Danio rerio: one gene and its partners. The protein of the gene in region 1 purifies or fractionates together with the protein of each later gene. This does not show direct contact. Links are inferred from orthologs where the notes say so. Each region holds a gene or a part of one and is shown in the gene's direction. Other genes may lie near its edges.

Region 1 (2,904 bases):
AAGAAGAGAGCTTCAAAAGATGTTACATTTTTTACATATTTTTACGGAGGGATTTGAAGATCTCTTTTTATCGCTCCATATTTCAGAAAACACTGCAAAATGCCATAAAATACTTTTTACGTTTTTTGTACAATAAAATGTTTGGAATCTGGTAAATTATCTGGTAATCTGCTTAACCTGTCACTCTTTAAAACTTCTTTAGAGTACAGACAGAACTGTAAAGGTCTATATATTATAAGTGCTGCTGAAGTGGAGATATTTAGCTGAATACAAGAAAAAAATCCCTTTGAGAAAAGTCTTTACAAATATGTATTGAAGATTAAATTTACAGGCACAAATAAATAAAGTGTGACAAAGGACAAACGGCAAAAATATTTTGGATGTTTTCTTTAACTGTTAACTGAACAAATAACACTGCATGACAAAATACAAAAAAGTCTCAAAACTGACATGTGGATAAAATAATGTCTTGACATAAAATGTGAGTGAAGAGAAAATCATGTGAACAGTACTGTAATAATCTAAGCAAAATACTGGTAAAGAAAAACACGGAGAATACTAACTTAGGTACATGCAATTGCACCTTCCCCAGCATTGTAAACTGTAACTTTGTACTTTTAAGACAATATAAACAAAAGAGGATCAAGAAAGAATGCACAGCCTGTGATTTCTGATTACAAATAGTCAAAGCTAATACTGTAATTGCAGGTAACAGTCAGCTTACCTGTAAAGGTGCTTTTGAAGACACAACAGCGAGGAAAAACAGCTGAAGTAAAAACCCTCTGACCCTCTGTTGTCACTGCAGTAGCACAGTCGAATGCAGCCAATAGCGGCTCACTTCCTTACAGCGCGAGCTCGATTGCTCACAGCTCATTGGTCAGATTCGAGATCTGGTCATGGCGTTAGTTGAGCGGTTAGTACATCTACCCTTCGTGTATCGGTTGTTTCGAACAGCTCGACTCAACCGCTTGTAACGATTCGGCGATTTTTTGACGTCTTGACGTAATTGTCGTTTTTACTTGCCCGACCTCCGCGCATGGCTTTTACATGCATTCTGTATACTGAAGAAAAATACTTGTAAATATGTTTTACACATTTACAAAACGGTGATATTGTTTGAATGTATAGCATGTATAACGTTACATGTCTTTACAATGGTTACAATATATGTGTATTAGTATATTTATTAGTATACTATATATTAGTATATTTATGTGTGTATATATATATACACACACACACACACATTATAAAGTGCATCGATTTTCATCTGCTCAAATATATATTTCAAATATGCATTTAAAGTACACAAATCTGTAATTAATAAGCATCTTTTGACTGAAAACATATAAACGATTCTCTCGTTTATACGTTAGTGAACATATTTCCAAAAAAAGAAAAAAATTATATTTACAAATTATTAATAAAAACGTGCATTGTCATTGCTTTGCCATATTTAATGCGACTATGTTTAATGCGAAAAATAGCTGACAACATAGAAATATAATAAGTATACAGTTGTCCAGATATTTATATGCCAGAAAAGGTCTGATGCATAGGATATGTCGTCATCAGAAAGCGACATAACAACAAACGGCAGCGCTGGGAACTAGACTACACAGGTTTGTATGAACTTACACAGATGATTTTGGAGCTTTCGTAATAACAAACATAACATAACTTACTGTACAGCGTTTCTGCGTCGTTTGATCTGTCGACTGTGTGTTGCCGTGTAAGCGAATCATGGACAGTGAAGTGCAGAGAGACGGACGAGTTCTTGATCTAACAGATGATGCCTGGAGAGAGGACAGACTGCCATACGAGGATGTGACGATCCCACTGGTAAGAAATAGTATAAATGTAGAGTTTTGATGTGTGCAGTTCGATTTGCGCACGCCCAAGGTAAAATGAACATAAATGAAAGGCAGTGTACAGTGAGATAACGTTATGCACATCAAATACAGTTTTAAAAATAGTTTGTCATCATTTACGTTACATTTCCACACAAGAATCCCTAAACTATTTGAGCATATCTTTAACGTTACTGTGTTTAAATTGCGTAGAAGCCCATTGGACAATTTTGTTTTTTTCTCCTGACAGAGTGAACTTCCTGAAGCTGAGCAGGACAATGGTGGGTCGACAGAGTCCGTCAAAGAGCAAGAGATGAAGTGGTCAGATCTCGCCCTGCAGAGTTTGCATGAAAACACCCCAAATGTCGGCACTTAGATCAGAAGCTTCTCTTATCCTCTCTGACTGATTCTTCACCGTGTGTTTGTCTGCAATTTGGGTCCCGGATCCAAGATTTATAAAATAACTGACTCATGTATTATTGTATTGGTGTTTCATCGTTTTGATATAAATTATTTAATAAAATGATACACATTTTAAGTGCAGTATCAGTTAGTTTGTGTGCTAGTTGATAAAATTATCGTTGACATAGGGTTTCATATGAGCTAAATTACACAAGACTTCTTCACAAGTTGGCTTCCGTGTTGTAGTTCTAAAGCTGAGGGTCAGTAAAACCTTGTTTGAAGTATAATTTTATTTGGATGTTATAAATAGATTAAACGTGATATTAATTAGACCTATAATGTTACAAAATATTTCATTTAAACTTTTTAGTGGAATTCTGAGAAGAAAATATTATATATATATATAATTTCTAGTGCAACTGTGCTACCCAGTAGAACAAAACAGACCATAAGTGTCATTTTATTTTGTATATATTGAGATTTATACATCACGGGAAAGCTGAATAATTAAGCCTTCTGTTCATGTATAGTTTGTTTGGACAGTACAAAATACTGATATGCAACTATTGAAAATACCAAATCTGACGGTTAAAAAAAAATCTAAATACTGAGAGAGAAACGCCTTTAAATTTGTTTAAATAAAGTGCTTAGC
Region 2 (4,116 bases), on another chromosome or scaffold:
CTAAAACGTTTATAAAGGTATTTCTCACAACCAAATTTCGACTTAAAATTGACGTATTTTTCGTTGTTTGGACGTCTTACAATTACGTCTTTTGGACGACATGAAAAAGACGTCTTTTCACGTTTCACTTTTCCACCTGTTTTCCACGTTGTTTGGACGCCTTACAATTACGTCTTTTCGACGACGTTAAAAAGACGTAGTTTCGTCTTTCACTTTCCCACCTGTTTTCCACGTTGTTTGGACGTCTGACAATGTCGTCTTTTCGACGTCTATTCGACGAACTATTGCTGGGTGGGGAGCTCATCTGTTTGTCGGAACTACTAGACACAATTTTTTTTATCAACTATAATGTGTTTAATTAGTTAATTTAAAATTCATTTCATTATTCCAGCAATAATTGTTGAGTGAAAGAATGCGCTAGAAATTTGCATTGCGGCTCCCTTTATTGTACAGGCTTATTGCACTTAAACTTTTTTAGGTTCGGCTCTCGAATTAGTAAGGTTATGAGTAAATGTTATTTAAAATATTTAAAGCCTGCCATCTAGCCTACAATAACAGCAAATTTAATAATAGAAAAAAATAATAAGACAGGCCTACTTTGGCGTTGCAATAAAATAGTATTAATTATCAAAAAAATAATTACAATATATAATTAAAATAGGAAGAAGTAAATGAAAACAAATGGTACCCTTTGTTTTTATAGCAGGGCCCAAAGTGTTCTTATTCTGGTTCTGCTAACAACTATTAAAAAGAAAAAAAACACACCAAACAATAAAAACACTAGTAACTGATATTAATAATAATAATAATTATTATTATTATAAAGCCCTATTATATTATTATAAAGATTGTTATGAAACAATCATGTAAACCAGGTGCTCCTCGGAAATGGCTATCTTTGCTCTGCATCAGGTGCACAGCAGCAAGAAGCTTGGCAGTGAACTATGACCTTATTTTAATGACAAATGTCTAAGAATACTGCTTTACGTTTTTATTTAATTTATACATACGCAATGAATGTAAGCCTGCTAACTGTGTGTGGTTCAAATGATAGAATATGTAAACTTAGTTAATATATAATTAAATAATAATAATTAAAAGCCTGCGTGTAAGGCTTTTATTTTGAGGGTGACGTCACGAGCGCAGATTTGGTTGACCAATTAGAGGAAAGTGGGCGTTTCAGCACCGCCTACATGTGTAAAATGAATTTTAAAGTCGTTTATCCGTTTTCCTACCCTAAACCAAAAAACGAAAATCCAGCCAAAATCTCGTTTTTTCGTTTTCTCGTGAGCAAAAGGAAAAACGGCCGTTTTCTCCATTTCCTTTATTCCGTTTGAAAATGGAAAACAAATGAACAAAACGTACACGGACCGTTCTAAAACAACAAGTTTTGTACATTTAGTTTTAAAGGTTTAACTAAATAAATCGATCAAAAACTTGAAGAAAAAAACTAAGGTTAATGAACATTTCAACCGTCTATGCCCTTAAATAGACAGTGAAAGAATAATTCAACTAATGCGATTATCAATTTAAAACTTGAAAAAATATAAAAACAGAAAAAACACACACGTTTATCCCTTTTTTCTCCCTTCACGCTTAAACTACATTTCCCATGATTCCTTCTGCTCTTTCTACGGTCTAAAGCGTGAATGATTACGGTAAGTGATGTGAGCTGAAATAGTCATCTTCTTTCAGTTTAGAATTGTTTGTCAATAGTTTGCCAAGCTTACTAAAATAAACGATCTTCACGGTTCATTATCCTGACGTTTGTCACTGTTTAAGACCCAGAATTTAGAGCTACTAGGCTAATTAGCATGTAGCTGCTAAACAATAACGTTATGGTGTTGAAGCAGGCGTCGCTGAATTTCTTGAAATTACGAAATACACAACACGACGGTAAACGTTCAAGTAAAGTGTACTGTGTATGCAGATATAATACTGCAATCATGGGCTTTTGCAACGTTAGGTTCCTTAAAACATAGCATTTGAGCTTTCTCAGAGTCAAAATATATATGAAGAGTTGAATAGAACTACCACAACTCAACTAGGTTAACCCATCGATTTCTAATGAACATACATTATATATGTAACGTTAACGTTAATAAGTGTGTAAATTAACTTAAGCAGCGCGTGTAACGTGTTTCCAGGCAACGAGAAGCCGGTGATGTGAAGATGCTGAGGAGGAAACCAACGCGCCTCGAGCTCAAGCTGGACGACACGGAGGAGTTTGAAAGTGTCAAGAAAGAGCTGGAGGTAAAATTTTGGACTTGTCATCGTGTCTTAAACATGTGTCATAAATAGTTGCTTCAATTTACTGTACACACATAAAGACATGTTCCTTCATCCCAGTGGGGACTCTCATAGACCCCTTAATGATGGTTCTACTGTACAAACAGTAGATTCTATCCCCCTACCCCTAAACACAACCCAATTTATCTGTACTGCATGTCTTTGGACTGTGGGGGAAACCGGAGCACCCGGAGGGAACCCACGCGAATGCAGGGAGAACATGCAAACTCCACACAGAAACGCCAACTGAACCATGGTTCGAACCAGCGACCTTCTTGCTGTGAGGCGACAGCACTAGGTCTGGTGCGACTGCTTCGTCCGAGGACAGGATTTTCCCGAATGTAATTCTATAAATTTGATGGGAGTAAACCCAATATAGAAATGTAAACAGAGATACGCTAGTGCTTGAGCCTACAAATGGACAAAGCAGTAAAATTAGTTATAAATCTTAGTGCAGCATGGTAAACAGTGTCCAGTGCATGCAGACTAGAAGACGAAGCATACATATAGATAACATCAGCGTAGTCCAATATCAACATAAATGTTGCATCAACCAGCTTTTTTGTAGCATCAAAAGTAAAGTTGTATTGGAGTTGTTCTACAGCTGATTTTGATAGACTACAGTTATGTGTTAGTAACCACAGCGAAAATATATTTCTGCTAAAAACATTATCAATTATGATTAAGTTATGATAATGATATTATTAGGTTATGAAAATGATACTTTAGTCCCTGCTCTCCCCTACTTAATTAAAATAAAGCAAAAATTCTTAGTCCACCACTGCAAATCAGTCAGTAATAGTGTGATTTCTTCATCATTCTTTTTCTCATTTAAAAGCAAGCATGTAAGCAAATCTTACAGAAAGTAAGAAGCTTTCTATAATCTCATGTTACTTTCCCCACATGTGTTAAGAGTCGGAAGAAACAGAGGGATGAGGTGGATGTCGTCGGTGTCGCCACATCCAGTGAGATGAGCGGAGCGGCAGGTGGCACTGCTGATGGGAAAACCAGAGAGCAGATGATTCACGAGAGAATTGGATACAAACCCCACCCCAAGCCTAACACGTTACCATCGCTCTTCGGAAACCTTCAGTTTTGACAAGTGCCAATCCTGAACAATGGACTATAAGGTCTTGAGAATCTGTAACACAGACACGTACGTGCACACAGAATATATTCTGCATCAATCTTGCCAGATTAGAAATGGACATAAAATTATGGCTTTGGTTAACGGTGTTTGTGATAACTGATTTCAAATGACTATTTTTCTATTGAAATAAATAAAGCCTTTCTAGTTGGATGTGGAAATGGTGTGTAAATGTGATATTGGCAGAATTATATTTTTGATAATACCGATTAGGGCGCAACGATTATAAATTTTGGTTGTACGATTATAGTATTAGAAATAATCACGTTTATCATGATTATTTGCATTCATTGATCCCAAAACCCCATTAGTTTATAAATAGTTTAAAACGGTTTTAAATTTTGTTTTATATATTGTGCCCAACTAAATATTTGTTGCTGGTTTAATCGTTTAATTTTATTTAAGTGCATATAAAAAATTCAGTGGATATTATTGATGCATTATTTGGTAAAACTGCTCATTCAATGTGTTTTTGGTCATTATCAATGCACCGGTAAAATAGACCCAGCGGCGAAACCACGACTGCTTGCATGATGCTCATGCCTCGTGTTGACGCACTGCTTCTGCATGCAGTATGAAAGCTCTAATCTGTTAACATGGATGCGAAAAAAAACACTCTCTGGTCATGCCTGCGGTGTGAAACAGGCTTGAGTCTTTCACCACTGTCTTTAAAAACATTC
Region 3 (4,312 bases), on another chromosome or scaffold:
TATATTTCTATGGGAGCTAACTAGTATTCACGTCATATCATGCTCAACTCTTATTACTCTTTTACGCTCTTTGAGAGTCTTGGCGGGATTTCAGAATGATATTTAGGCAACTATGAAGTAGCAGTACCGTCTGTGATGATAGGAGCAGCTTAATTCATTACATGTTTTGGTTAACTAATTATTTAAACACAACTTTCTTGAGCTCCAAAAGGAAAAAAAACACATAAGAAATTTGCTGTTAAATTAATTTTAGCAGAGACGCAACTGCCAGTCTTATTAGTTTTTCGGGAAGATGTAGCCTAATAAGAATGTTTTAATAAAAAAAATAGTTTACTACACAGTCTCACAGTAGGCTACACTATAAATAATATTTAAATTTATTTATTATTATTATTAATATTAATATTATTACAATTAAGCTAAAATTGACAAAACGCAGAACCCTTTGAATGCTTTCATCTTGCTAAAAAGCGCACTTTGTGTAGAGAAACATCCCATTATGCAGCAGCAGTCAAGCTATAATAATAAATATGCCTTTTGGGTTTAAAGATGATCGGCCTGCGAAGTCAAGTTTGCAGTGTTATAAATGGAAAAGGTATAGAACTTAAGTGGAATTACCGCGGATCAACCGAGGAACCACTCACGTGCGCTGCAGGTAGGCAGAAAGATAATCTTTTAAAAACATGTAATTTAGGCTATACTGCTATTTGCTCATGCAAATTAAACAACATAAAATATATTGTAGATCTATTTTAAGAGCTAAAATACAACATATCGAGTTCGTTTTGACTAGTAGCGCATGGCCCTAAAATGAAAATAACCTGAAAACAAGCTATTAAAAAAGGCTTAATAAATAAAATAATTAATAAATAAAATAACGGGTTGGCCTAGTAACCTAATGGTTTATGATGGTTTGCAATATCACGAAAAAAACACACTTATGATAGCCTAAGATAAATATTTGTTTTTAAATTTAAAATGATGTTTGTAATTAGCATTTATCGTCAAAATAACTTTATTTTAGTTAGAATAAATTGCTGACTTTTTAACATAAACTTAATCCACTCATATTTCGCCATTGCCACAAAAGTTATTTTCTAGACATTTTTTGCATTTAATGTATAGAAAAGATTTTTTTTAAAGCGAAAAAAAAAACACTAATCTGTACATTTGTTCGTTTCTCTCGTAAACACAGTGAAACTATTGTCAAATGTTAGAAATCATACTTGATTAATGTATTTTTAAAGCATATGCTTAATTTTTTTTGTAAAATGTGAAACTTAAGACCAAATAACCTCAAACCTGAAATATTGTAAACAACACTTGCCAAGAGCGGCGACTTTTCTTTTGGCGATATATCCGACTTTTATTTTGAAATATTATTGTTTCCTGCAGTTCAAAAAATCTTTTCTCCGTCACTGTGCTGTGTTTTCCGCTGCGCTGCGTATCGATTACTTACCAGAATTGTGCTTTCAGACTCAAAGATTTTGAAGATGAATGTGATCGATCATGTGCGGGATATGGCAGCGGCCGGACTGCACTCTAATGTCCGGATCATCAGTAGTTTACTCCTGACCATGAGCACCAACAACCCGTGAGTGCGTCACTATATAAACACACCTGGAAGACTGACCAAATATTGGATATTACATGTGATGTGTTATTTATTAAAAACAGATATGTGACGTCATAATACAGTAAGCTTAAGTGAAGTAATGTAACGTTAGTGTAATTTAATAAGAGCAACAATACCGTCAGATATTTAGGTAAAGTTGGTCACATTCGTTCAGGGACAACTTGTAACACGCTCTCTATATTGTTTACTATGGTACTTTGATTATTAAGTCAGCAATGGTATGTAAACATGACTTCAAAACAACAATACCACCATTTAATTGACTGTGAACAATGTTGTACTTTAATAGTCGCTCGCTGTTAATATGATTTTACTATTCGTAAATTGCAAAGAATCCTTTTCGGAAAGTATATTATTAAGGAGGAAGTCAGAATGTGCGAATATAAAACCAAATTTACCCCAGTGTCCACAATTCACTATGGTATTAACCATTGTTTTTCCAAAAGTGCTAGTTATTTTTTTTATTAACGTTAGCTATCATAGTTTTTGGGTATCTCCTTTAGGTAAGGCAAGTTTATTTCAATCACCAGGGTAATTCAAAGTGCTTTACATAAACAAGAATAAAAGAATCAAGAAAATAAAAAATAAACTAATTAAAAATGATTAAAAACATAATAAAATGTTTTATTTTTCAGCATTCTTTCAACATTCATTTTGTGGACATTCATATTGTGAATATTTCTACAGTATATCATGTGTGTATATCAATTTTAAAGTCATAATTATGATAGCGTTTACTATTTTGGCAAAACATTGTTATTGTTTGTTTGTGTGTATGTTTGGATATGTTTATTAACTGAACACCCAAGGTTTATTTTACTTTTCTCTTAAAGGTGTTAACATATTGTATTTTACTGTGCAAATTGTAATAATTAAAGCGTCTGCACTATTGTGGCATAACATGACATTATTATTATTATGTTTAGGTATTTCTGATTAGGCATGGGCCAGTATAAGATTCTGACGGTATGATAACCTTGGTTAAAAATATCATGGTTTCACGATATTGGGATTGCTGCCCTAAAATAACTTCTTTTTAAATGTCTCGGTATAAAAGAAACATTTTTTTCTACTTTGCACACAATATATATTATTTTGAGAAATATTTTAAATATTTTGGAGCAGTAAACATGTCAGGCTAAATAAGAACCATCGTTATACAATGACTTGCCTAATTACCCTAACCTGCCTAGTTAACCTAATTAACCTAGTTAAGCCTTTAAATGTCACTTTAGGCTGTATAGAATTGTCTTAAAAAATATCTAGTCAAATATTATTAACTGTCATCATGACGAGATAAATAAATCAGTTATTAGAGATGAGTTATTAAAACTATTATGTTTAGAAATGTGCTGAAAAAAGCTTCTCTCCGTTAAACAGAAATTGGAATAAAAAAAAAAAACATGGGGGCTAATAATTCCGACTTCAACTGTATATACAATTTTATTGTCTTAATCATGATAGTGACTGCTATTTTGGCAAAACATTATTGCTGTTTATTTGTTTGTTTGTATGTTTGGATTTGTTTATTAGTATTAACGCCCTGTGTTATATCAATATTTTTCTTGAAGGTGTTAATATATTGTATTTTACTGTGCAAATTGTAATAATTATAGCGCCTGCACTATTTTGGCAGAACATAACACTATTAATATGTTTAGGTATTTCTGATTAGGCATGGGCCGGTATAAGATTCTGACGGTATGATAACCTTGGTTAAAAATATCATGGTTTCACGATATTGGGATTGCTGCCCTAAAATAACTTCTTTTTAAATGTCTCGGTATAAAAGAAACATTTTTTTCTACTTTGCACACAATATATATTATTTTGAGAAATATTTTAAATATTTTGGAGCAGTAAACATGTCAGGCTAAATAAGAACTAAATAACTTCTTCTGCCTTCATTTGTTTAAAAAACACAGATTTCCGTACAATTTAATACAGCATGTTAGGACATTTTTTTCTGCTGGAGATACTGTTGTCCTAATAAAAAAAATAAAAAAACGTAAATAAAAAAATCTTACACAATCTTAGAAACTGTGTAGCAGAAAATTTTGGTGGTTTTAAAACCTTGACTTTTCCAAACCACGGTATATCTTGAAAACGGTTATCTTCCCATGTCTATTTCTGATTAGATTTGTTAATTAAACTCCCAAAGTGTCCCAAAGTTATATTTCTCCTCATGGATATTTCTTACTTGTACATATATACACATATTTAATGTCTTAATTAATATCCGTAGGGATTCTCTATTGAGGTAAAACTAAAACATTACTTGTTTTTGTATTTTTGGATCAGTTTATTATTTTAAAACCCGGTTCCCCATTGAGAAGTCAGATGTGTTGACATTTAGGTTCACCCCAAAATGTACATTTTTAGTAGGACATTAAAAAAGAAAATTTATTCATTCATTCATTTTCCTTCAGTTTAGTCCCTTTATTCGTCAGGGGTCGCCACATAAAGGCATAAGTTAGCTTTTTTTCTAAATCAATCATTGTTTTGAATGAATCGTTTGAGTCAACGGTTCACTGATCTATTCATAAAGACAGGAATTTCCTTAAGAATATGTTTAAATATGTCTCTTCACGAATATATACACACTATATCATGTATATATACAGTTAAAGTCAGAATTATTAGCCCCCCTTTTGCATTTTTTCTTTTCTTTTTTTT

What was found. The genes of interacting proteins can lie anywhere in the genome.
Region 2: the proteins of anapc13 (region 1) and cdc26 purify together in Homo sapiens (affinity purification with mass spectrometry; 4 studies listed by BioGRID and IntAct, counting the BioPlex papers as one, with this or other methods). This does not show direct contact. The link is inferred for Danio rerio from reciprocal best matches to the Homo sapiens genes ANAPC13 and CDC26.
Region 3: the proteins of anapc13 (region 1) and anapc7 purify together in Homo sapiens (affinity purification with mass spectrometry; 3 studies listed by BioGRID and IntAct, counting the BioPlex papers as one, with this or other methods). This does not show direct contact. The link is inferred for Danio rerio from reciprocal best matches to the Homo sapiens genes ANAPC13 and ANAPC7.

What each region holds. Positions count from the first base shown.
Region 1 is NC_133196.1:25,981,932-25,984,835, forward strand, and holds anapc13 (anaphase-promoting complex subunit 13), read left to right. Parts: upstream 1-1,566; 5' UTR 1,567-1,622; intron 1,623-1,692; exon of another isoform or gene 1,693-1,737; 5' UTR 1,738-1,743; coding exon 1,744-1,842; intron 1,843-2,100; coding exon 2,101-2,226; 3' UTR 2,227-2,388; downstream 2,389-2,904. UniProt on the Homo sapiens protein: Component of the anaphase promoting complex/cyclosome (APC/C), a cell cycle-regulated E3 ubiquitin ligase that controls progression through mitosis and the G1 phase of the cell cycle.
Region 2 is NC_133180.1:62,620,773-62,624,888, reverse strand, and holds cdc26 (anaphase-promoting complex subunit CDC26), read left to right. Parts: upstream 1-1,598; 5' UTR 1,599-1,658; intron 1,659-2,147; 5' UTR 2,148-2,172; coding exon 2,173-2,253; intron 2,254-3,202; coding exon 3,203-3,388; 3' UTR 3,389-3,597; downstream 3,598-4,116. UniProt on the Homo sapiens protein: Component of the anaphase promoting complex/cyclosome (APC/C), a cell cycle-regulated E3 ubiquitin ligase that controls progression through mitosis and the G1 phase of the cell cycle.
Region 3 is NC_133183.1:13,344,054-13,348,365, reverse strand, and holds the start of anapc7 (anaphase-promoting complex subunit 7), read left to right. Parts: upstream 1-1,493; coding exon 1,494-1,594; exon of another isoform or gene 1,595-1,854; intron 1,855-4,312. UniProt on the Homo sapiens protein: Component of the anaphase promoting complex/cyclosome (APC/C), a cell cycle-regulated E3 ubiquitin ligase that controls progression through mitosis and the G1 phase of the cell cycle.